2 linked regions of the Alligator mississippiensis genome follow. Each later gene encodes a partner of the first gene's protein in a complex. Links are inferred from orthologs where the notes say so. Each region holds a gene or a part of one and is shown on either strand. Other genes may lie near its edges. The genes, in order: ACVR2B and GDF2.

Evidence for each region.
Region 2: the proteins of ACVR2B (region 1) and GDF2 are in contact, whole or in part, in a crystal structure (PDB 4FAO), measured with the Homo sapiens proteins. The link is inferred for Alligator mississippiensis from reciprocal best matches to the Homo sapiens genes ACVR2B and GDF2. Residues at the interface, in NP_001097.2 of Homo sapiens: Asn35, Glu39, Cys49, Glu50, Glu52, Lys55, Leu57, Tyr60, Ser62, Arg64, Val73, Lys74, Cys77, Trp78, Leu79, Asp81, Phe82, Asn83, Glu94, Gln98, Val99, Phe101; in NP_057288.1 of Homo sapiens: Arg333, Ile346, Ala347, Pro348, Lys349, Glu350, Tyr351, Glu352, Lys397, Ser399, Pro400, Ile401, Ser402, Val403, Leu404, Lys406, Gly410, Val411, Pro412, Thr413, Leu414, Tyr416, His417.

Annotation. Positions count from the first base shown.
Region 1 is NC_081828.1:208,209,146-208,220,003, forward strand, and holds the start of ACVR2B (activin receptor type-2B), read left to right. Parts: upstream 1-6,082; 5' UTR 6,083-6,634; coding exon 6,635-6,785; intron 6,786-7,142; exon of another isoform or gene 7,143-7,178; coding exon of another isoform or gene 7,179-7,254; intron 7,255-10,858. UniProt on the Homo sapiens protein: Transmembrane serine/threonine kinase activin type-2 receptor forming an activin receptor complex with activin type-1 serine/threonine kinase receptors (ACVR1, ACVR1B or ACVR1c).
Region 2 is NC_081829.1:20,539,591-20,549,599, forward strand, and holds the start of GDF2 (growth/differentiation factor 2), read right to left. Parts: upstream 5,087-10,009; 5' UTR 3,211-5,086; coding exon 2,865-3,210; intron 86-2,864; coding exon 1-85. UniProt on the Homo sapiens protein: Potent circulating inhibitor of angiogenesis. Signals through the type I activin receptor ACVRL1 but not other Alks. Signaling through SMAD1 in endothelial cells requires TGF-beta coreceptor endoglin/ENG.

The sequences.
Region 1 (10,858 bases):
GACCTGGACAGGTTACAGGGGTGGGCAGATGAGAACAGGATGGGTTTCAACACTGACAAGTGCAAGGTGCTGCACCTGGGGAGGAAGAACCAGCAGCATACCTACAGGCTGGGGAACTCCCTTCTAGTCAGTGCAGAGGCAGAAAAGGATCTTGGAGTCATTATTGATGCCAAAACGAACATGGGCCGTCAGTGTGGGGATGCGGTCAGGAAGGCTAACCACACCTTGTCATGCATCTACAGGTGCACCTCAAGCAGGTCCAAGGAGGTGATCCTCCCCCTCTATGCGACACTGGTCAGGCCGCAGTTGGAGTACTGCATCCAGTTCTGGGCGCCGCACTTCAGGAGGGATGTGGACAACATGGAGAGGGTCCAGAGGAGGGCCATCCACATGATCAGGGGACAGCAGGGCAGGCCCTACGAGGAGAGGCTACGGGACCTGAACCTGTTCAGCCTCCACAAGAGAAGGCTGAGGGGGGATCTAGTGGCCTGTTACAAACTACTCAGAGGGGACCAGCAGGCATTGGGGGGAGTCCCTGTTCCCCCGAGCACTACCAGGAGTGACTAGAAATAACGGTCACAAGCTGGCAGGGGGTAGATTCAGACTAGATATCAGGAGTCGCTACTTCACTGTCAGGGTGGCTAGGATCTGGAACCAACTTCCAAGTGAAGTGGTGCCGGCTCCTACCCTGGGGGTCTTTAAGAGGAGGCTGGATGAACACCTTGCTGGGGTCGTTTGACCCCAGTACTTTTTCCTGCCATGGCAGGGGGTCAGACTTGATGATCTGCTCAGGTCCCTTCCGACCCTACCAGCTATGAAACTATGAAACTATGAAACTTTTTTTAAAAATTATGGCTGTGCACAAGAACCTCAAATGTTCCCTCTTTCAGACCTTCTTGTATGTTGGCTCAATAATATGGGAAGGGGTTAATTACACTCGCCCCTTTTTATCCAGTTTGCATTGTTGTGCAATATATATTTTGAACCAGGTACAAAGAAGTTGAAGGGCATTTTTAGAATGATTTCTGATCAGGAACTGCAGTTGCGAAGGTTAACTTAGCGCAAGCTGCATCTAGCCAGAGTTTGCTGTCTGAGGGCCTCACTACCAACCTGTTGCAGGTAATGGGAGTTTTGCTTTATATTGACTCAGATGGTCAGAAGCTCCTTCTGATTTTTAAATGAGTAGTCTTACAACCTGGAATGAAACTATACTGAACTAAAACTTAAATCCAAGTTCAAGCAATTAAAGCAGAACTCTCTCCTTCTCAGCAGGTTCATGCTTCATACATAACACATTTTTTATTCCAGTAGAAATTGTTTTATTCCCCAAGCAAGTGACAGTTCCTAATTTCACATGGACTACAACTAAGTTCGAAGGTGTGAGATGGCAATGGAACTTTTTTGGGGTATGAACAACCAAAATACTGTTGTCATGTCTTCACTGTTAATATGCCTGGGTCTGGGACCATATTGTCCCACATACCACACCCCCCCAAAAAAGACATGTACCTTATTTTGGGAAGGCAGAATGAAGAAAAAAACATTCTTCCAGAGTTATGACCACAGACACAGGGAAAGCTGCCTCACCTACCCTTTCCTGTTCGGGCAAAAGCTACAGTTTTAACCCTTTCACAGCTGGATTGTCAGTGGCTCTTGGCTGCTTAAGCAAAAGCTGAAACTGTAGCTGCTGCTGAAGACTGGACTCCATGAGCAGATCTAGGATTTTGAAAAGCGCTAAAAACCATCTTCAGGGCTGTGAAACAGGAGAAGAAAGGCTATCTTAATTAATGGAACATCAAGACCATTAAGAAGGAGAGAGAATTGTTAACACCTGTTGAATGGAGAGCAATTAACAGAAATCAAGTAGATTATAATGAACCATGAAGTCAATTGACTCCTTCAGCCCTGCCTGAATAGAAATGCCACTGCTGCTATTCTGAGCAGATCACCTTTCCCACTTAGGACACGCACCGTAATTTTCAATGACTAGTTTTTGGGGGAAATGTGTTTGTGGTATGTGAGTAAAGATGGTATTTTGCTGCTTTACTATATCAATGTGTATGCTAGAAAGATGGAGCATTATTACAACATTTGTAGTCCCAAAGCATAAAACAGTTTCAGCTGACTAAAGTTTACATACCTCAGTGTTTCTTGCTAGGATAAATAAATCAGTTAAAAATAAACCAAACCATGCAGTCCTCAATCTGGCAATTATAACTGCATGAGGAGATCTGGGATTCCCATTGATATCTGTGGGGTTCCACTTGGCAAAAGACTCCAACTAGATGGATTTAATTTTGGGAATTAAATATTTGTAAGCAAGGTGGGGTTTTGTTTGTGCGCTTGCTTGTTTTTTACTATTGGATTAGGAGAGGGAAAACAGTTTAAAATGAGCTGGTACTTTCACTATAAAGTCTTGATTAAAGCACTGCACAATACTATCAACTCGATACCCCTAGACCTCTTTTGTATCAGGACTTTGGTAACCTCCAGAGAACGGCAGAAAATATAAAAATGTCCTGCTGCTGAGGTTAGTGACAATCTTGAGTGAATGTTAATTTTCTTAAGGAAACAAGTTGCAAGTTTAGAAAAGAGTTTATCTTTGTATGATGATACATGCTCAAATATGAAACAGTGTAATAAAGCTGTACTGTGGTGTCTGCCTGACACACTGACTCTTGGGGTACTTCTCTAAGTGTGAAGCCAAAGAGGCTTGAATCTCCATTGGTTTGCACATTGCATTGTCATTGTGTAAAGTAAGATCAGTGCACAAAGTGCAAGGCAGTGAAGAAGGGAGTATATTTGGTGCTAACTGTATCTTGCAGGGGAGCCTGGGACCCTGGAGGTTTGAGACTCATGGCAGTGTTGAGTGGTTGGAGCAGTGGATGGGGATTCAGGACCTCTGGTTCTATTTTTAACTTATTCAGTGGCAATAAGTGACTCACCTAATCCCTCCTGGCCTCTTTTTTCTCACAAGTGGGTTGTGTAGCTTAACCGATGAATGTAGTTTGAGATCCTTATATGCAAAGAGCAAGCTTATGCCAGTTTCTGTGGGATTGTGCTTGAAGTGGCTGTATGTAAGAACGTGGTTGCCAGCGAGACTGTAAGATTGGATACAAGAGAACTGGTTCTCTGTGTGAGCTGCCCGTACGAGCGGCTTGTGTATTAGTCATGAATAGCTCCGACACATTTAAAAATGCAGGCTTGCAGTCATAGAGATTTGCTGCTTAAAGAGGACCTGGACTTGTAGGCTCATGTTGGTAAGCATTCAGGAATCCTGATATAGCTGCACCCCTTTTTGTGAATGCAGGTTTTGAATTGAGGTGAAAAGAAGAGAATGCTTCCAAGGCACCTCTGCAAACATGCTACCCCATGTAAGGAGATGCTGTTCCTAGTAGACTGGGAGATGTTCACTATCTAATAGCATATACTCCTGAGCTTGTTTCTCCCTCTGCAAGGCTCAAATATGCCAATGTGCCCTGCCAAACCCACTCAGCTGGACTCCTCGACCAGGGAATTAAAATGTGGTGGCATCTCCAAAATACCAGCCCTTCACGGGCATCCAAATCAGATTTCCCTCAGAGTAAGTTGCGTAGATCTGCGACCCTACCTCCCCTTTCTGAGGTAAGGGGTTAAACAATTCATGATGCTGACAATAAATCATCATCGTGGAGATGCATGCAGAAGTTCATACCTCTCAGAACTGTTGTCCCAAACTGCTTCATTGCTGCATACAGTTCATATTTTTAAAGCTTTTTTTTTTCACAACCGTAACAGCTAGAAGCTCACTTAAACAGCGAAGCTGTGCATTCGTAGAATAAGTTATTTTCAGGGACATGTTGGCATGACTTATGGGCATGTTCTGGTTGCTTCCGAGCACTGTGCTGTCTAGATATGATGGTGTATACTCTGTTTTCTTTGTAGAAATGGTACATCTCATTTTAGCTAATTGTAGGTGGGGTGGCAGGGAAATGAAATATTGGACGATATTTTGCTGGTTTATGCATTCCTCCATCTCTTTCTCTGTCTCCCTCAAGTTTTTAAAAATGGGACATACTCCTTGATTTTGTAACCAATGTAGGCTTTGAGGCCACTTATCTGTTGTCACCCCTCCAACCCTCCAGCAACCGAGCGCTACTTTGTATTGCTCCCACAGGGGGCCAGGTCTCATCTCCTCAGAAGCTGCATTGCAAATAAGTCTCCAATTCCCTCATTCGTGGCCCATCTCCATGGCTCATTCAAGGGAGTTATTTACAATGATAAAAATCCATCACTGCTACCTCCTGATTAACCACGTTACATCTCCAAGATTAATAGTCCAAGCCTAGAAACCACCACTGCTCCCCTTGTTCATTTTCTATGACAGATGCAGCCTTCTCCTAACTCTCTCTTCCTTATATTTCCTGATTTGGCCAGGTAGTAAACCTTACCAGGTAACCCCATCAACAACTCTGTCCCCTAGAAACATTTTTAGCATGTGCTGTCTGCTCTGCAGGAGTGTTTTCTTTCAAGAGCATTGTCTTTGCTTCTTGCACAGTGCTTCCATGAGCTTCATAAAGGTGCTTTCCATTTCATCCGTGCCAACTGCCCTGCCTTGACTGTAATGTTTCTGAAAGTTTATTTAAAAACACAACTGCTTTACACTCTCAAGTGCATTCTGCTTTCCTAATCAAGTCACAAGGATTGCTTGTTTATATGAAGCTCCTTATTGCGTGTGTTGAATTAGTATCTTTACAGACTAGGATACTGTTGTGCCAGGTGCTGTACATGTAGAGAATAGCAGCATCGTTTATGCCCCAGGGAGAAAAGCTTTCCAAGACTGCCTCAGGGGTTTAGGTTGTAAACCTTTCCAAGACTGCCTCTGCAATCCAGTAAAAACAGGTGTATTTCTTTTTGGAACAAAATGCTCACATTTTTTTAAAGGAATGATTCATAGTTACTCTTATCTCCTTCCATAGCAAAGAGAAATGATTTATAAATATTTTCAGCTTCACTCCCCACTGGATAAATTAATGAGCTGACCTGCACTTTGCTGCTCTCCATGCTAAGCCCTGTTGGCGTTCGGAGCGTGATGAAGCACTCCGTCTCCTCAGATCGCTCAGTGGGCTTATCAAACTGAAAACCTCAGGCAAGCTTGAACTTTGGCGTCTCCCTTTCCTCTGGTTCAAAACTTAGGAGCGGCTTAATGCTGTGCCATGGGATAGTGCCAAAGGATCCAAGAACAATTTGCTTCCTTGTGTCTGGTTCAGAACAGCGACTTCTAGGAGACTAAGGAAAGCTATGAAGGCGATTCCCAATTCCCTGCAGAACTCCTGCCCGCCGTCTTTGCCGGCTCTACTCCACCCTCAACCTTCTTACGACACGGTTAGCAAAAGTTAAAACGTCTTATTTCACGGTTAAAAAAAAAAAGTATAACGAGCCTAAAATACAGAAGTGACACTACACGATTTGGACTCTTTGCTCTGGGATCGTACAGCACCAAACGCGCCGAGGTCCCGGTTCAGGATTAGGGGCTCCTAAGCAGCACCTCAACACGGCGGTTCACAAGTCGGCAGGGACTGGATTTTCCGAAGCCTCTCGCCTCGCACGGAAATCAGGAGGCGTTTCGGCACGGGGCTGGGTCGCTGCAACAGAGGGGGACGGAGACGGACCGCCGTGCCCCTCGAACTCTCTGTGCGAGGTGTCCTTTCTGAACCCGGCCCTCGCCAGTGTACGGCTTCACGGCCTGGCACCCCCTTTGCCACCTCTTCCCCACCCGGCTTGGGGTGGGCGCGGGTTCCCCCTCCTCCCTGCCCCTGCAGCTCTCTCCAGGGGGCTGCTCAGCCCCTCACCCTCTCCCCCCGTCAGCGGGGGCTCTGCCCCCTCAGCACCAGCCCAGGCCGCGGGCAGCTGCGGCCTCGCGCCTCCCGGCCCTGCGCACAGCCGGCCCCGCGCCCCTCCCCGGCTCCCTTTGTAGCAAACATCCGGGCTTCCCCCGCTGGCTCCGCTCCCGCTTCTCCCTTCTTTTTTTTTTTTTTTTTTCCTTCTTCCAAGAAGCCATTTTGGACGCCGTTCAGGCTTTTTTGTGTGTGTGTGTGTGTGTGCGTGTGCGTGTGTGGCGGCGGCGGCGGCGGCGGGGGCGGCTCGCGGCCCCTGCACGCCCTCGCCCCGCGCCATGCCTCGGCCCCCGCGCCGCTCCCGGCCCCTGCGGCCGCCGCCCGCCTCCCCGCGGCTGCCGGGCTCCGCCACGCTGCAAAGTTGGGGGTAGGGGGTGGAGGGGACTCGCCGCGCCGCGCCGCTCCTGCCGCCGCCCCCCGCTTCGCATTGTGCTGCGCGCGTGTGAGCCAGCGAGTGTGTCCCGGGCCGGCGGGAGGAGGGAGGCGTGTGCGTGTGAGTGTGCGGGTGAGTGTGCGTGTGCGCGCACGCACAAAAGCCGAGGCACAAAAAAAAAGAGAAAAAAAAAAAAAAGAAAAAGAAACTCTTGGAAAGCCGGGAGCAGCCGGAGCCGGAGCCGCCTCCATCGGATCCCCGGGGCAGCGGTGCAGGAATTCAAGCTGTTTTGTTTTTTTTTGGTGGGGTTTTTTTGGGGGTCCCCCCCCATCGCATCGCCTCGAGGATCCTGGGGGTTTGGGGGCATCCTTTCTTCTTCTTTTTTATGCTGCTCCTGCTTTTGGGCGGCCGAGGCTCGCGCTCCCCCGCCGGCCGCCCGCGGCTCCCCCGGGGGCCCCCGGCGGGCAGGCGCCGGGCCAGGAGGATGATCGCGCCCTGGGTGACTTTCGCCCTGCTCTGCGGAACTTTGTGCGCAGGTAAGGACGGGGCCGGGGCCGGGGCCGGGGCCAAGCCCGCCCGGGGCTCGGAAACTTCCCGGGCTCGGGGCTGCATTGTCCGGCCTCCGGAGCCGGTGGGTTGCTCTGCCCCTGCAGCTGCCGGGCGTGTGTGTGCGTCCCGCGAAATGTTATGATCCCATAGGGTTTTTATTATTACTATTATTATTATTATTTCACCCCCCATTTCTATTTTTATAAGATGACTCATTTGCTCTGATTTGTGCCAGGCTGATGGAGCGGGTAGAAAGTTGTGCGGGCGCGGAGGGGAGACGGGGCAGGGCAGGGCAGGGCAGGGGGGCTGGTTTAACACCCCGCCACCCCCGGGTGATTTGAAACCCGAGCGCGGGGCGGGCAGGGACCTTGCCTGCCGCGATGGAAGTTCATGTAAACACCGGCGCGGCTCAGGGGCAGGAGGAGAAGGCCACGCTGCTCAGGGATCCTGGCCAAGGTTTGGGACGAGCCCTTGGGTGCTGGCTTTGTGCACCGGGGGGAGGAAAGGAGGTGGTTTTTTTAGCTGGAGCCGAGTCCCGGCCGCTTTGTTGTGCGCTTCCCTCCGTGCCTGCATGGGGAGAGACCTCCCCCCTCCGGGCGGATTGCAGCGCCCACAACAACACGGCTCGTGAGCCTCATGGCTGTTGACGTCCTGGGTCTCGGAAGGAAAAATGCAATGACTTTAAAGTCACTTGCTCCCCCTCCTCCTCCATCACAACATCATCCCCCCCCCTCTTTTTCTTCCAGGGATTTCTATTTTGCAAGGGGAGGGGATGAATTTTCACAGGGCTTTCATTTCATGTGTGCTCCCCCCCAAAAAAACCCCCACAAAAGGCTCCCCCTCCCCTTCCTGGCTTGGTCTTGATTTGATCACCTCTGGCCCTCTGCTAGAGGAAGGGCTGCACGGTCACTTGTTATTTTGTCTCCATTTCCAAGCAGGGTGGTGGTGGTGGGTTTTATTTTGGGGTGTGCACAGAGGCTCACAATAGATGGTTGGAAGGAGGGGTGCTGCAATTGTGCCCTTCCCCGGCTCTGTGCAGGGTGGGGAATGCAGCCTGCTGCTTTCAAATCTTTATTTATTTATTTATTTTTAAATCCAGGGGCACACACAGCAGGCAGGGACACCCCCCCCCCCTTTGTTGCCTGGTTTCCCAGGGGATCCTGGCCCCAGGAGCATCCCCCGGGCTTGCAGGGGGAACCCGGGGGCGGGTTTGTTTTGGAATGTGCTGCGCGCTGAAGGCTGCCAGGCTGGCGCTGGCGTTTCTTTGTTCCCAGTGCCCATTGAATGTGCGGTGCCATCGCCTGCACCCTGTACCATAAACAATGCCTTCTCTCAATGGTTTGAAAGTCGCACCAAAGGTTCTGATGATGCTTGTGTTGGGGAGAGGAAGCAGAAGGACAAACAAAAAAGATGATGATTTGGTGGCGATCGAGCCAGCCAGGGCATTTATGGAACGGATGGGACACTTGTGTGTACAGCTTTGTTTCCTTGTGTTGCAAGGGGGGTGTGAGCGAGCACATTGACGGCAGCGCTGAGTAGGAGCAGGTATTTAGGAAGCAGCCGGATGGCTGGGACAATGGTGTGCCAGCGTGTGCCATCAGGCTTCGGGATTTCTGCGATCGCAGCATCGCTGTCGGCTGGGAAATTCTATTTTGTGCACCGAGGAGATTTATACTCTTTTGAACCTGTTCTTGTTGTGGACCTTTTTGACTCCTTTTAAACTGTGGGGCTCACAAACGGGGGCCGTGTCTGCTCCTAGCATTGCTTCTAGTGACAGAAATATCAGAATAAAAACAAACAGCAAAAGGAAGTTTCTTTAAAAAAAATAAAATAAAATTGACTCTGAAATTTGCCAAGTGCATCAGGTTATTTAAAAAAAAAAAAAAAAGGGAGAATCTAGTAGGATATGATCACCCGGACTCTCCCCCCCGCCCCCCTTGCAATATTAACACAAAAACAGACAGTGTGTGTGTATGTTTGCTTTGAAAGCTCTCTGTGGATCATCAACTTGGAACTTGAGAGTTGTAAATCTCTTTTCATATTTTATCTTTCCCATTTCTTATATTTGGGAATGTATTTAGCCACATGAACCTGTTGCCTGTGCAGTGTTCCTTTTTCTCGTTGAGGTTTAGGAAAAAAAGTTGCAACATGTTGCTTAGGATTCACAGCTCCCCTGCCTTGCAGGAAATATTTCTTGTGTGTGTTATATTTTAGGACCGTGCAAAAGCGGTGGGGCTTTTTAAAACCAGCCCAACCTCCATTGTTGATGGTTTTCAGTACTACCTTGGGTGACTGCAATAAAATAAGCACAGACTGCGGATTTTTTTTAAATATCCGTCATGTGTCTAACTTTTGGAATACCGAATATTTGTTGAGGAAAACATTATGTTCAATTTTTGCCTTTTGTTTGAAAAATCTCGGCAACCCAAATGTTGAGAAATTGTGTTGTAATCTGTGAAATTTAGAGAATGCAGAAGGTGTAAGAGGGTTTGTTTTGCAAAACACATTGCGAACACATTTTGTTGAAACATTACAGTATTTAAACTTGCACCAAAATAAAGTACCACCAGGCAGCAATGAATTGAACATCAGATGGATCTAGGCTCCTCTTTCAGGATGGTGTATTTATTCTCTTCTGCTTGAGAAGGGGACTGGATTCATTAGCTTGCTAATTAAACACAATGAAATGCCTGGCCCAAGGTTAATGGCAATAGCCTTTAAAAAGACAAAACTCTTGAACCTGGTGTCCAGGGTGTGTGTGTGTGTGTATAACAACTTACATAAATACAGTGCGTGTGTATGTATATACATATGTTTATGTGTAAATATGTATGTATAACAACTTGTGTATATATACGCGCGTGCACACATGCTAGATAATGATGCTTCTCGCTAGGACTGAGACAGTGTTAAGGGTTTATTGCTGTATAAATGCATTATTCTTAGCGGTGATACAGAAAGCTCTCAGTATCGTATGCAGGTTGTGGTTTTTTTAAGGGGAAAACAAAGCATCTTATTATGTCTTCCTTGCTGTGGTGGGAGAGAGTATGTGTTTATTAGGCCGAGTTAAAAATCCAGGTTCCCTAGAACAATTAAGGAGTCTAGGGCAAACCCTGCCATCCAGCTGAAGTATTTATACACTGAAATGTGTGCCATTTTCGTGTGTCTTTGAGCAGCCTATCCAGGCACTATCACTTTCCTTACTATCTCATCAACTGAACAGAAACAGCCAATTAAAGCCGAGCTCTTGCAGTACCCACAGTCTTGGCTGTCACCACCCTCCTTTCCACTCTGTTCTCCATCAGCAAAGACATGCCTGTCGTTTTTTTTGTGGTTTAGATGATGCAACAGGCCTATACCTCCCCTGCTCCCACTGCATAGATGCTTCAGAAGAAGGAAATAAGCCCACCTCTTTTTTGTTGTTGTTATTGCTTCTATTTCTGTCTCCCTTTCTGTCCAGCCTGGACAAAATGCACAGCTTGCCCAGCATGGTGATTCAGTGGTCAATTCAAATCCAGCAGGACAACTCAAAGGACTGGGTTGTGGTTGACGGGATTTATACCTTTTAGACCCACTATGCGAATCTGACTTCTTTCATTTGTGCTGCTCTTCTGTCTGTGAGAAGATCTTCAGCCCGCTGTCAGCATCTTATTTATAATAGGAACCAAATGGCATTTTTGCAGTTCCTCTCACATGGAACAAAGTACTGGTTTTAGATGGGGCCATCCATAAAGGGGCTGCGTGCTCCACCCATGTTGGGTATAGTCCTAAGAAGTCAGCTTACCTTTAAAATAATAATATCACTGAATCTTTGTAAGGCATTGCACTCAAAAGCAGTAATTCTGGCCCTTGTGTATTCCAAGGCCTAGTTTCTGATAAATGTACGAAATGTAGCTGTTGCTTCTATTAATCGGCTTTGCGGTGTTGGTACTAAGTTTTGCAGGGGTTCAGGGACTAGAACCAGAGTGCTTTGGCTACCGAGCATTTCCCAATGTTTTCTGCTGGCAGCAATATCTTGCAAGCCTTGTAAAGCTCAGTATCTTCCAGTGAGAGCTTGGTA
Region 2 (10,009 bases), on another chromosome or scaffold:
TCTTCATGGTGTGGGATAGAGACATTGAAGAGCAAGATGTGTTTCTGAAAGGGATTTTCTTCTGATGAGGTCAAAGAAACAACATCTGCAACAGGAGGTTAATAAATGTGATTACTTAACTTCCAACAGATAGTGTGACATAATGCTAATCCAATGAGGAGAACTAATGCTGTTAGAAAGATTTATGTTCCATTTCGGAAGAAACACCCACTCTTTGCAAGGGCCTGGTTAGACTAAAGCTATACCATAATGAATAGCCTTAAATAAAATGGTCTGACTTCATCTGAATGTTAGGAAGGTGAGAAACCCTGACAGAGGTCACTGCTGACACAAACTATATTTAGGATCAAGTTTTGGTGACCAAAATTATATTACATTGGGCATGTAAAGAGTTGGGACTAGGAGTATAAAGAGCCAAAAAGTAGGAAGTACTGGTCAGTAATGGAGATAATACTAGGGCAACCAGGAAGTCTTCAAATTTGGTGGCTTCCTTTAGAGCCTCTGACAGATAGAGTTCCTGAAGTACAGGCAGTCCTTGACTTACAACGTTTCGAGTTACAACGTTTCGCACTTACAATGTTTATAAATTGACACCCTGTTTCAACTTTCTGACCTCAGTTTAAACTTTACAACGCTTGATCCGTTGCAGTGGCATCCAGCAAACAAGTTCGCTGCATCACCCATCTCCCTGGAGAACATCTGTCCAAACTTCCTTGGGCACTTTCTTTAAGAAAGCAGACAAGACTCCAGAAAAACCGGCAGCCAAGACTCCTGAGAAGACTCCAGCCAAGAGCCCTTCAAAAAGTCCAACCAAGAGCCCTTCAAAAAGTGCAGCAAAGTCACCTCAAAGAAGTCCTTCCAAATCAATATGATTGCTATTTACAATATAAGTATATTAATGTAGCTATATTACTCATCTATAATTGATCGAGTGCAAAATTCTGGAGTATTTTTGGTGAAAATAGAGTATCGGGCCTTGGTTCAGGAACCAATCTCCCATTTATAACATTGTTTCTTATGAGAAAATTGGTTCCAAGTTGCAACGTTTCAACTTAAGATGCAGTTTTCAGGAACCAATTGTGTCGTAAGTCCGAGGACTACCTGTACTAAGGCTGAAAATCTACTGGAAGACTGAAGTACAAACTCTGCCTCTATCATTTTGCATTAGGATAAATTCCTCTTAGAAATTACATAGCAAATATATATGCCCTTGTGCCAGCTTTTCAATTCTTTTCAATATCTTAGCATAAAATCGTAACATTAAAAAAAAGTCTTCCTAATATCTTAGCACAAAAACCAGCTTAGATTGGAAGAGAATGAGGGAAAAGAGGTAATCCAAAAGCTTCAGGGTCTTATTACTTTGGGAGGATTGGTAATGAGATAAGGAACAGTTCCCTTCCATGTCCCTGATTCATGTCTTGATTAGATTGGTGGGTTTGCTTTTTTTTTCAGCAGTGCAGAGAGAACTAGCAATCTTTCCTGAAGTCAAGGGGGCTATAGGTATTACGCACTTTGGGAAGATAAGGTTGGCAGTGTTTAAGAGTTCCCACCATCTGATAGCTGTTTGGTGGTTGAAGTAAAATGAACTGATGAACTTTAGTCCAGTTTTTATGAACAAATTTCCATGCCTGTTCAAAAAATGGTCACCTCTAGTCTCATCTGATAGCTGTTTGGTGGTTGAAGTAAAATGAACTGATGAACTTTAGTCCAGTTTTTATGAACAAATTTCCATGCCTGTTCAAAAAATGGTCACCTCTAGTCTGAGCAGAGAATGGGCCCTGGAAACTGTACTCCAGCTCATACTTGTGGGTCAGGGTTAGCACGTTAATAAGGGAATATAAAGGTGGTTATAGTGTTGTTGCAGTGTCTATTCTGTAATTAGAGAAGATTTGATTCTCCTCGGCCTTTTCATTTCCCCATCATTACATTCATTTAACACTCCTTTTATCGCTTCTAATAATTAAGCTTTTATTATTTTTAAATGTTCCACAGACAACACTTTATTGATATGCTGAGCTGGGACGGGCCCAAACCAGAACCCTCAATCCGAACACTCCAGAACTTTGGGAGTGAGGAGTGGTGACCCTAGTTCAAATCCCAAGCTATGTTTTTTACTTGGCTTTTCTCCTGATAAAGTATGGGAGGAACACTGCAAACAGTTGTTCCATAAGAAGGGATAGCAGTTTTAAAAAATGTGAAAGGCTGCACTAACCTAAGAGGGATAAAAAGTGTTCTCCATTGTCACAGAGGGCAGGACACAAGACAGTGGGTTTATTGCAGCAAAGCAGTTTTAAATTAAATCTTAGAAAAAAGGCTTCCTAAAAGTAAGAAACAAAGGAAAACAGAACAAGCTGTCTAGGAAAGCTACGTAAACTCCTGCATTGGAGGTTTTTCATTAAGAGGCTAGATAGACATTTGTCTGGGGTGGTTTAGAAATAAACATACCCAGCATCTATGCAGAGGGTTGGATGAGGGGATTCATGGGGTCCCTTCCAACCCTATGGTTTTATGTTGATGCCTCACGTATAGCTCCAAATTTTTCAACTCAGCCCTAATTCTCTAGCTTTGAGACAGATAACAAAATAACCCTCAATTTTATAGATGTGGTGCCTCATCTGATTCAGTATGAGAAGGAGAGATTGTACAATGTGAAATCAAAGAAAAGAACTAAAAGCCATTATGTTTCATGTAGACCAAAAGAAAATAAGGAGCAGAAGAAAGAACTACAAAACAGACCAGGGCTGGGATTGGTCTAAGGAGCCTATGGGAGTTAGGTATGAAGCTTCCCCCGAATTTCAATAGGAACTTAATACCCAACTCACAGACTGCCTTGTAAATTCCTGTCTGTATTTAAGATGTCATACCTTCAGTACTGAAGCTCCGCACAATGTTGGATGCAGGGATGGAAGACTTGTCCATGGCATATCTGTTGTACAAATCAATCATGAATTGCGGTGGTTCTTCTTTGGTCCTCTCTTGTGAAGGAACCCTAGATAAGTTCAAACTCCTCAGTAAATCTGCCTTCATGTTCTCCAGTAGGCTTCTAAAATTGAGATGCGTCTCACCTTCCATCTCTCCCAGCTCACCAAAGTATATATCAGAATCCTCCGTAACTGATAACTTGCTTCTTTCTTCCAAGGGTTTGCCTCTTGTCAAACAAGCAATGATGTTGAAAATGGACAATGCAGCAAATGTCCCCAAATAGTTCATTTTCCCTATGCTCACTTTCCAATGGTGAAGAAAAGACAGGGCTATTCCAGTTGACTGGAACTCGTCTGATTAGAGCCAGAAGAAAGGGAAACAGAAGGCAAACAACTGAAATGCCCTTTGCAAATCACTTTCTTGAGCTCTTTTGCAGCCTGCTTCAAACCACAGCCTCTTGTCAGTTGTCAAGCAGATTGGTTGTACACTTGCCCTTATCTTAGCCATTGATGCCATGCTTCAGCTTCTGTTATCTAGCAAAGCTCTTAGTTAATGAAGATTCTATAAACATCTGACAAACACATATGGCTTATGGGAAGGACACTGCATACTGTAAAGAATCCACATTTCACTTCAGGGTCATCATTGCTTAATTATGTTTTTTATCATTTCCTTGCCAACAGGGAGAGGTCTAAAGAGAAGCATTTTGGGGGTGGAGAATAAAATTGTGTTTCCCTAAGGAACTACAAAAGCTGAAAAGAGGGGTGGGGGTTAAGAACAAAATGTTTCATTAGCAGTTAGCAAACATTGCCCTCAGATATTTACCCCAGTCCCTTAATTTATTGATCCAAAATCACTCTTCTGGTAGAACTCTGTGCTCTTGCAACACATGATCTCACAACATTGCACACAACCTTAAAATTTCCTTCTTTTTATCAGCTGAGAGCTATTATTTGTACACAGTGAAATATCTGTTTTGTATCAAGTTTGCTTCAAGTTGTTTGTAGATTTTCTATTTTCAGTGTGCATCCTTTGATGCATGGAGAAAAACAGTGTGACTTTATAGCACGTTATGTAATGTATTTTCTTAGATTCATGCACACGAGGTTGGCTAAGTTGGTCCAAGAACAACCAGTTATTGCCTAAGTGATCTCAAAGTGAAGATAAAACTCAGCCTACTAAACCAATGTAGAAAGTAAATGGTTTCTATGACTGTAACGAAGATTATCCATGGATGTTATTGTTTTCCATATAGATCTGGGCCAAAGTAAAAGAAGTGAGATTCGTTAGTTGTGTTTTTTGTATCTCAGGAAGTTAAACTAGTTATCTATATAGCATATTATGATTTGATATTTAATTTGATTGAACTTAACCATCCTAAATGATCTAATCTAATATTATACAACCAGTTTACTTAAACTGCCTTTGTATGATTTTTTAAAGTAGAAATTAACCTGTAGCATGCGTGGATGCCATACCATCTCATTGATACTAGGAGAGCTCAAAACACCTACGCAAAATTACCGCTAAATTTTATCCCTAGTCATTCTTTTCCAGTTTTTTAGCAAAGCATTAGGGGTATGTGAAATGGGCTGTATTCTATTTGGATTGGCCCGAATCAGGACAGTGATTCAATTCGTTAATTCGGATCACTGTCCCCAATTTGGCCGAATCTGAATCTGAAGATTTGATGCTGATTCGGAGAATCTACGATTTGGACATAGACACAGCTTTAAATGTTTTTTCTACAGACCTCAAGGTACCAGGTGGCTCATCAATGCTGCAATGGTTGGGCAGATGGAGCATCCCACAGGAGCACAGGGGTCCCCCACGTGCTCGGCAGCAAACCTGGAAGTGGACCGGAAATGCTTCTGGTCCACTTCCGGGTCTGCCAGGGAGCACGCTGGGGGCCCCCCCTGCACTCCCCATCTCGGCAATCAGTCACGGGGGGACCCTCCAGACTCAGGAGGCACCAGTTGCTGAGCCAAGCGGGAGCATGGGGTGGGGGTGGGAGGGGGAGGCAGCATCTCCCCAGTGGATCTGGAAGTGGACTGGAAGTCCTTCTGGTCCACTTCCGGGTCTACTGCTGAGCACTCTGGGGACCCCCCTGCACTCCTGTGGGATGCTCCATCTGCCCCACCATCACAGTGCTGATGAGCCGCCTGGTACCTTGAGGTCTGTAGAAAAAACATTTAAAGCTGTGTCTATGTCCAAATCTCTGAATCTTTCTGAATCTGTCCGAATCGATTCGGAGGGTTCCGATTTGATTCAGAGAGATTAAAGGGTCTCCTGATTAAATTTGGATTTGAAGATTTGGCCACCGAATCGGGCCAAAACTCCACCAAACTGAATCAGGGGCTGAAGCTTCACACAACCCTACAGAGCATATCTTCCTTTACTCTGCTTTTATCTGATTTGTCACAGGACACTAAGGTGCCCTGCTCCTAGAAGAGCAGGAAAAGCAGGAACTGCCTGGGGAGAGCCCAAAGAGCCAGGCAGGAGCCCAGATGCAGGTTGCCATGGCAACCGGCTAAGGTGGAAATTAGTCAGCACCTGTACCTGGTCAGCTGGCAGGAAGGGGCAGGGCCTTAGGCCCATATAAACCCAGGCTGAAACTAAGGGAGGCAGTTCTCTGCTGGTGGCTAAGGGGGAAGGAGCCCTCTTAGAATGAGAAAGGAAAGAGGCCTGACTAACCTCTGCTCTGGGTAATGGTAAAGGGGCAGAGCACACCTTTGGTAGCCTATGTTAAGTTATAGCTCAGGGGCTTATGTTTTGTTTGTAGTTTTATAAGACCGGTGGTTTGGGTGAGGCTATTTGGGGAAGAAGGAGGCCTCACTGGGGGCCCACTACAGAGTGGAGACCCTGGTGCCAGAGAGGGCGCAGCATTTGGTGGGGGCACAGACTCCAGCGCCAGAGAGGGCATGGCATTTGGGGTGCACAGACTCCAGCGCCAGAGAGGGTGCGGTATTTGGGGTGCACAGACCCCAGCGCTGGAGAGAGCGTGGCATTTAGGGCGCGGAGACCCTGACACCAGAGAGAGTGCAGCATTTGCTGGGGGCACAGACCCCGGCGCCAGAGACGGCGTGGCATTTGGGGGTGCAGAAACCCCGGCACCAGAGGCGCGGCTTTTGGGGGTGCAGAGACCCCGGTGCCAGAAAGGGCGTGGCATTTGGGGTGCAGAGACCCTGGCGCCAGAGAGGGTGCAGAGACAGGGCTGCGGAGAGCCCAATGTGGACAAGGGACCAAATTATAATGAGGCCAAGGCAAGACAATGCCAGCACCATCTGTGAGGCTTAGGGCATGGTAAAAGGGCAGTTGGAGCCATGCATATAGCCCATAAGGCTAGGGTGCCCCGAAACACCCATTGTGGAACGAGACCCACAAGGGATCTGGGAACCCACAGGGTTCAGTAAGTCCATCAAACCGTGTCCAAGAGGACTTAAAGGCAGCTTCCCTATTTTCATATTTTTCATCAAAGACGTGGAGTGAGAACTGAGGGTGCCCATCGGGCCACATTGGCATGGTCAAGGGGCTTTAGGAGAACACGGCCATCCTTAAGGACCCCATCCCGTGACATGATTCTTCTCCAGTGACATGCAAATCTTGTTTTCTGGACTTGTAGTTTTTAAGGCCAGATGTGACATGAGCTCATCAAGTCTAACCTCTCATTTAGCACAGGGAATAACATTTCAGTGACGTTGCCCCCTGTATTAAGCCAAGTAAATTATGTCCGAATAAAACATAACTTGTTTTTGGCTAAGGCACATCTTTCCAAAAGGCATCTAATCTTGAGTTAAGAGATGGAGAATCCATCACTTCCTTAGGGATTTTGTTCCACTGGGTGATTGTCATTACTTAAAAAAAAATTGTGCCTACTTTAAAATTTAAATTTGTCTTGCTTCAACTTTTAGCCTTTGATCTTGTTATGCCTTTCTGTATTATATTAAAACACCTTTTCATGCATGGTATTTTCTTGTCATTAGGGTACTTACATAATAAATAAGTCACCTCATAGACTTTTTTTCTGATTGAATTCTCTTGGCATGTCTACACATGCAATTAATGCGACTGAATAAACTTTGGTACAATTTGAGCTGGAGTAAGCTAATCCTGACATCACCATCTACACATGCACATAAGCACAGTAATTTATTCCACCTTCAGATAGTACTTGTGTCAGATGGGACTATCTGAGAGTGTAGTAAATAAATCTACATTGACCTAACTGCCACACGTGTAGATGGTGATGTTTTACTGAGCACGTTTAGAGGCACCCTCTGAGTCTCTCTCTGTAAGGTGATTTCTCCACCCATCAAATAATTTTTGTTGCTCTTTTCTATATTGTCTCCAGTGGTTCAATATCCTTTTTAACATGTGGACACTAGTTCAGTATACAGTATTCTAGTGTTCATCCACCAGTGCGGTATACAGAAGTAAAATTACCTCCCAGCTCCTACTCACTATTCACCTGTTTGTATTTAGCAATAACATCACTCTTTTTGCCATTGATTTACCTTCAAAGTGCATGTTAAACTTAGATCATACTAAGGACACTTAAAAAGTGAGCATCCACATGTTAAAACTCATTAATTCTAGTTAAGTGCCTTCTGAGCATCTCAACATTATGCCACTTCAGGAGAGGGTTAACTCTGGCCCATGCTACTTAGAAAAATTTAGGGTAAATTCAGTCTGCTCCACAGAGATAAAATGAGTCCTCTAGCATCCCAGGATGCACTGCTGCCTTGCATCCTCAGAACGGGGATAGACCCCAGGTGTCTTGGCTCTCATGGCCCTGCTCACCAGCCCTCCAGTGTCAAGTCAGAGTTATGCAGGCAAGGAACAGTATTAACTCATAATGTGTAACTGCTTACAGCACATTCTGTTTTTAAAATTGGTTAACATTCCACAGATTTAGTATGGTCTAAATGTAATGTATAACTTCAGCCTAGGCCTGATGTAGCCTTTTGTTCAGAGGTTCTATGAAAATATATTTCCCAGTGAAGTCAATAGGAGTAGATTATATTAGAATCAGCTTCTGGAGAAAGTATTTCCCTGATACAGGCTCTTTCTTATGCTCCATCTCCAAACTACCCCCTTCCCACTGCAATAACTGAAACACCACATTCTAGGGCAAGCCTTCTAAATGCCAAGTGATTTTGGACTCCAAACTTTACACAACTTATGGATCCTGGTTTTCATAGGATGTGTTCTAGACACTGGCTCAAGAACAGGCCCCTTTTAAAGTATCTCAGGTAAGATAACCACACATTAAAGTTCCTTAAATCAATCATTGCTTTTGAAAAATCTTGGCCTAGGCCTTTTCTGCACTATAAAATTGACTGGTATAGCTTTATTGACAGAAAACCTTCCCAGTCTTCCAAGCAGAGACTCAGATTATAGCAGGAAAAATGTCCTTTCGCTGATATGTCTCATTCTGTTTCCTTAAATGAAATAAGTTATACCAGCAAAAGAACTCTTTTGCCTACATAAGCTGTGTCTCCATTAGAAAGGTTTGCAAGCACAGCTGCATCAGTCTGAGGTGTGATTTTTTTTTCTGCAATCTAGCTGACAGCTATGCCAGCAAAAATTTTAAGTGTTGACCATGTTCTTTAAAGTACCCTCGCTGTGTACAGAAGAGGGACTTTTACCTACAAACATATTGAATCAAAGATTTGTGTTTCCTTCTCCTAGTCACCTGCATCATCATGACTTGGAAAGCAAGTCTGTGACCAAGGAACAGTTCAGGATGTAAAATAGGCTCCCTAAGGAAAACAAAATGTAATAGACCAGAACATAAATACACTAGACCAACGTGTCATTCTAGCCAGATGTTAAATGGGAACAAGGCCATGTCTGTGGGAAAAGATGAGTATTTGTTTAGGACAGTATAGGCAATGGTTTAATATATTTTTTTTAAATTGCAAAAAAGGTCTACACTCTAAGCTGTAACTCAGGTATAGCTATTGCATCATATATTATGGGTCTGGTTCTCGTCTTGTTTACACTTATGTAACTCCATCAACTTTAATGAAATTCTTCCATATTTATAACAGTGAAAAAAGAATCAGACCCTATCGGCACCAAAGAATGCATGAGATGCTCATGTTAAGCAAAATGCTTTTGTTTTTAACCTTCTATTTTAAGGTGAGTGGTTTGACTCTCCATAAGATTAACATACTATTTTTTAATATTGCTAACAACACTTATATGAAGTATGATAGTGTTATTACCACCATTTTACAGGTAGAGAGTGGAGGCACATAAAAGCTAGGACCATAAAAGGAGCTAGGTGTCTAAAATGTGATTTAGGTGAGTCTTGATATGTGAGTCTAAAACTTAGAACCTCAAAGCATTTGCTCAGCTGTCACCGAACCCTGGAATCACTTATATTCTAGATGTAGAGAACTAAAGTTCAGGTACTTAAAGTTCTGCTTCTGGACATGCCCTGAAGCAGTTTTATCATGATGGGACTGAACAGTTCAGCACTTGGCCCACCTAAGCCATATCAAGATTCCCAAACTAGGCAGCAATTTTCAACCAGGGTGCTGTGACTTTATGCTTGATACAGAAGTTACTGGGTGAGGTTCTTTGGCCTGTATTATGCAAGAGGTCAGACTAGATGATCATAGTAGTCCCTTCTGGCTTTAATCTATAAATTATATTGTGACAAGCATAGCCTGGACATTCCAAATAAGATAGCATTGCTTTTCCTCTAATTAACAGAATACAACAATGTGTATTTATAGAAAGACATTTCAACTATTTTTAAATACTACTGTACCTTAATTTATTAGCTTTTGTTAAAAGCAACCTAAAGGATATAAAGTATAATTTACAAAAATATAAATCTTGGTTATTTTTTAGTATTTAAACATATTACTATATAGTATGTGTTATTCAGAGAATACATATGTTTAAGAACCTGAAATTAACCAGCACAGAAATGACGGTGGGATAGTGTTACATCTTTTGTAAAACAAAGTATATATTATGGAAAGGTAACCAAAAATAGTTATATTAATATACTGAATATATAAAAGCTTATACAGTGCACTACATTTGAATCCTGAAGAAAAATATGTATATT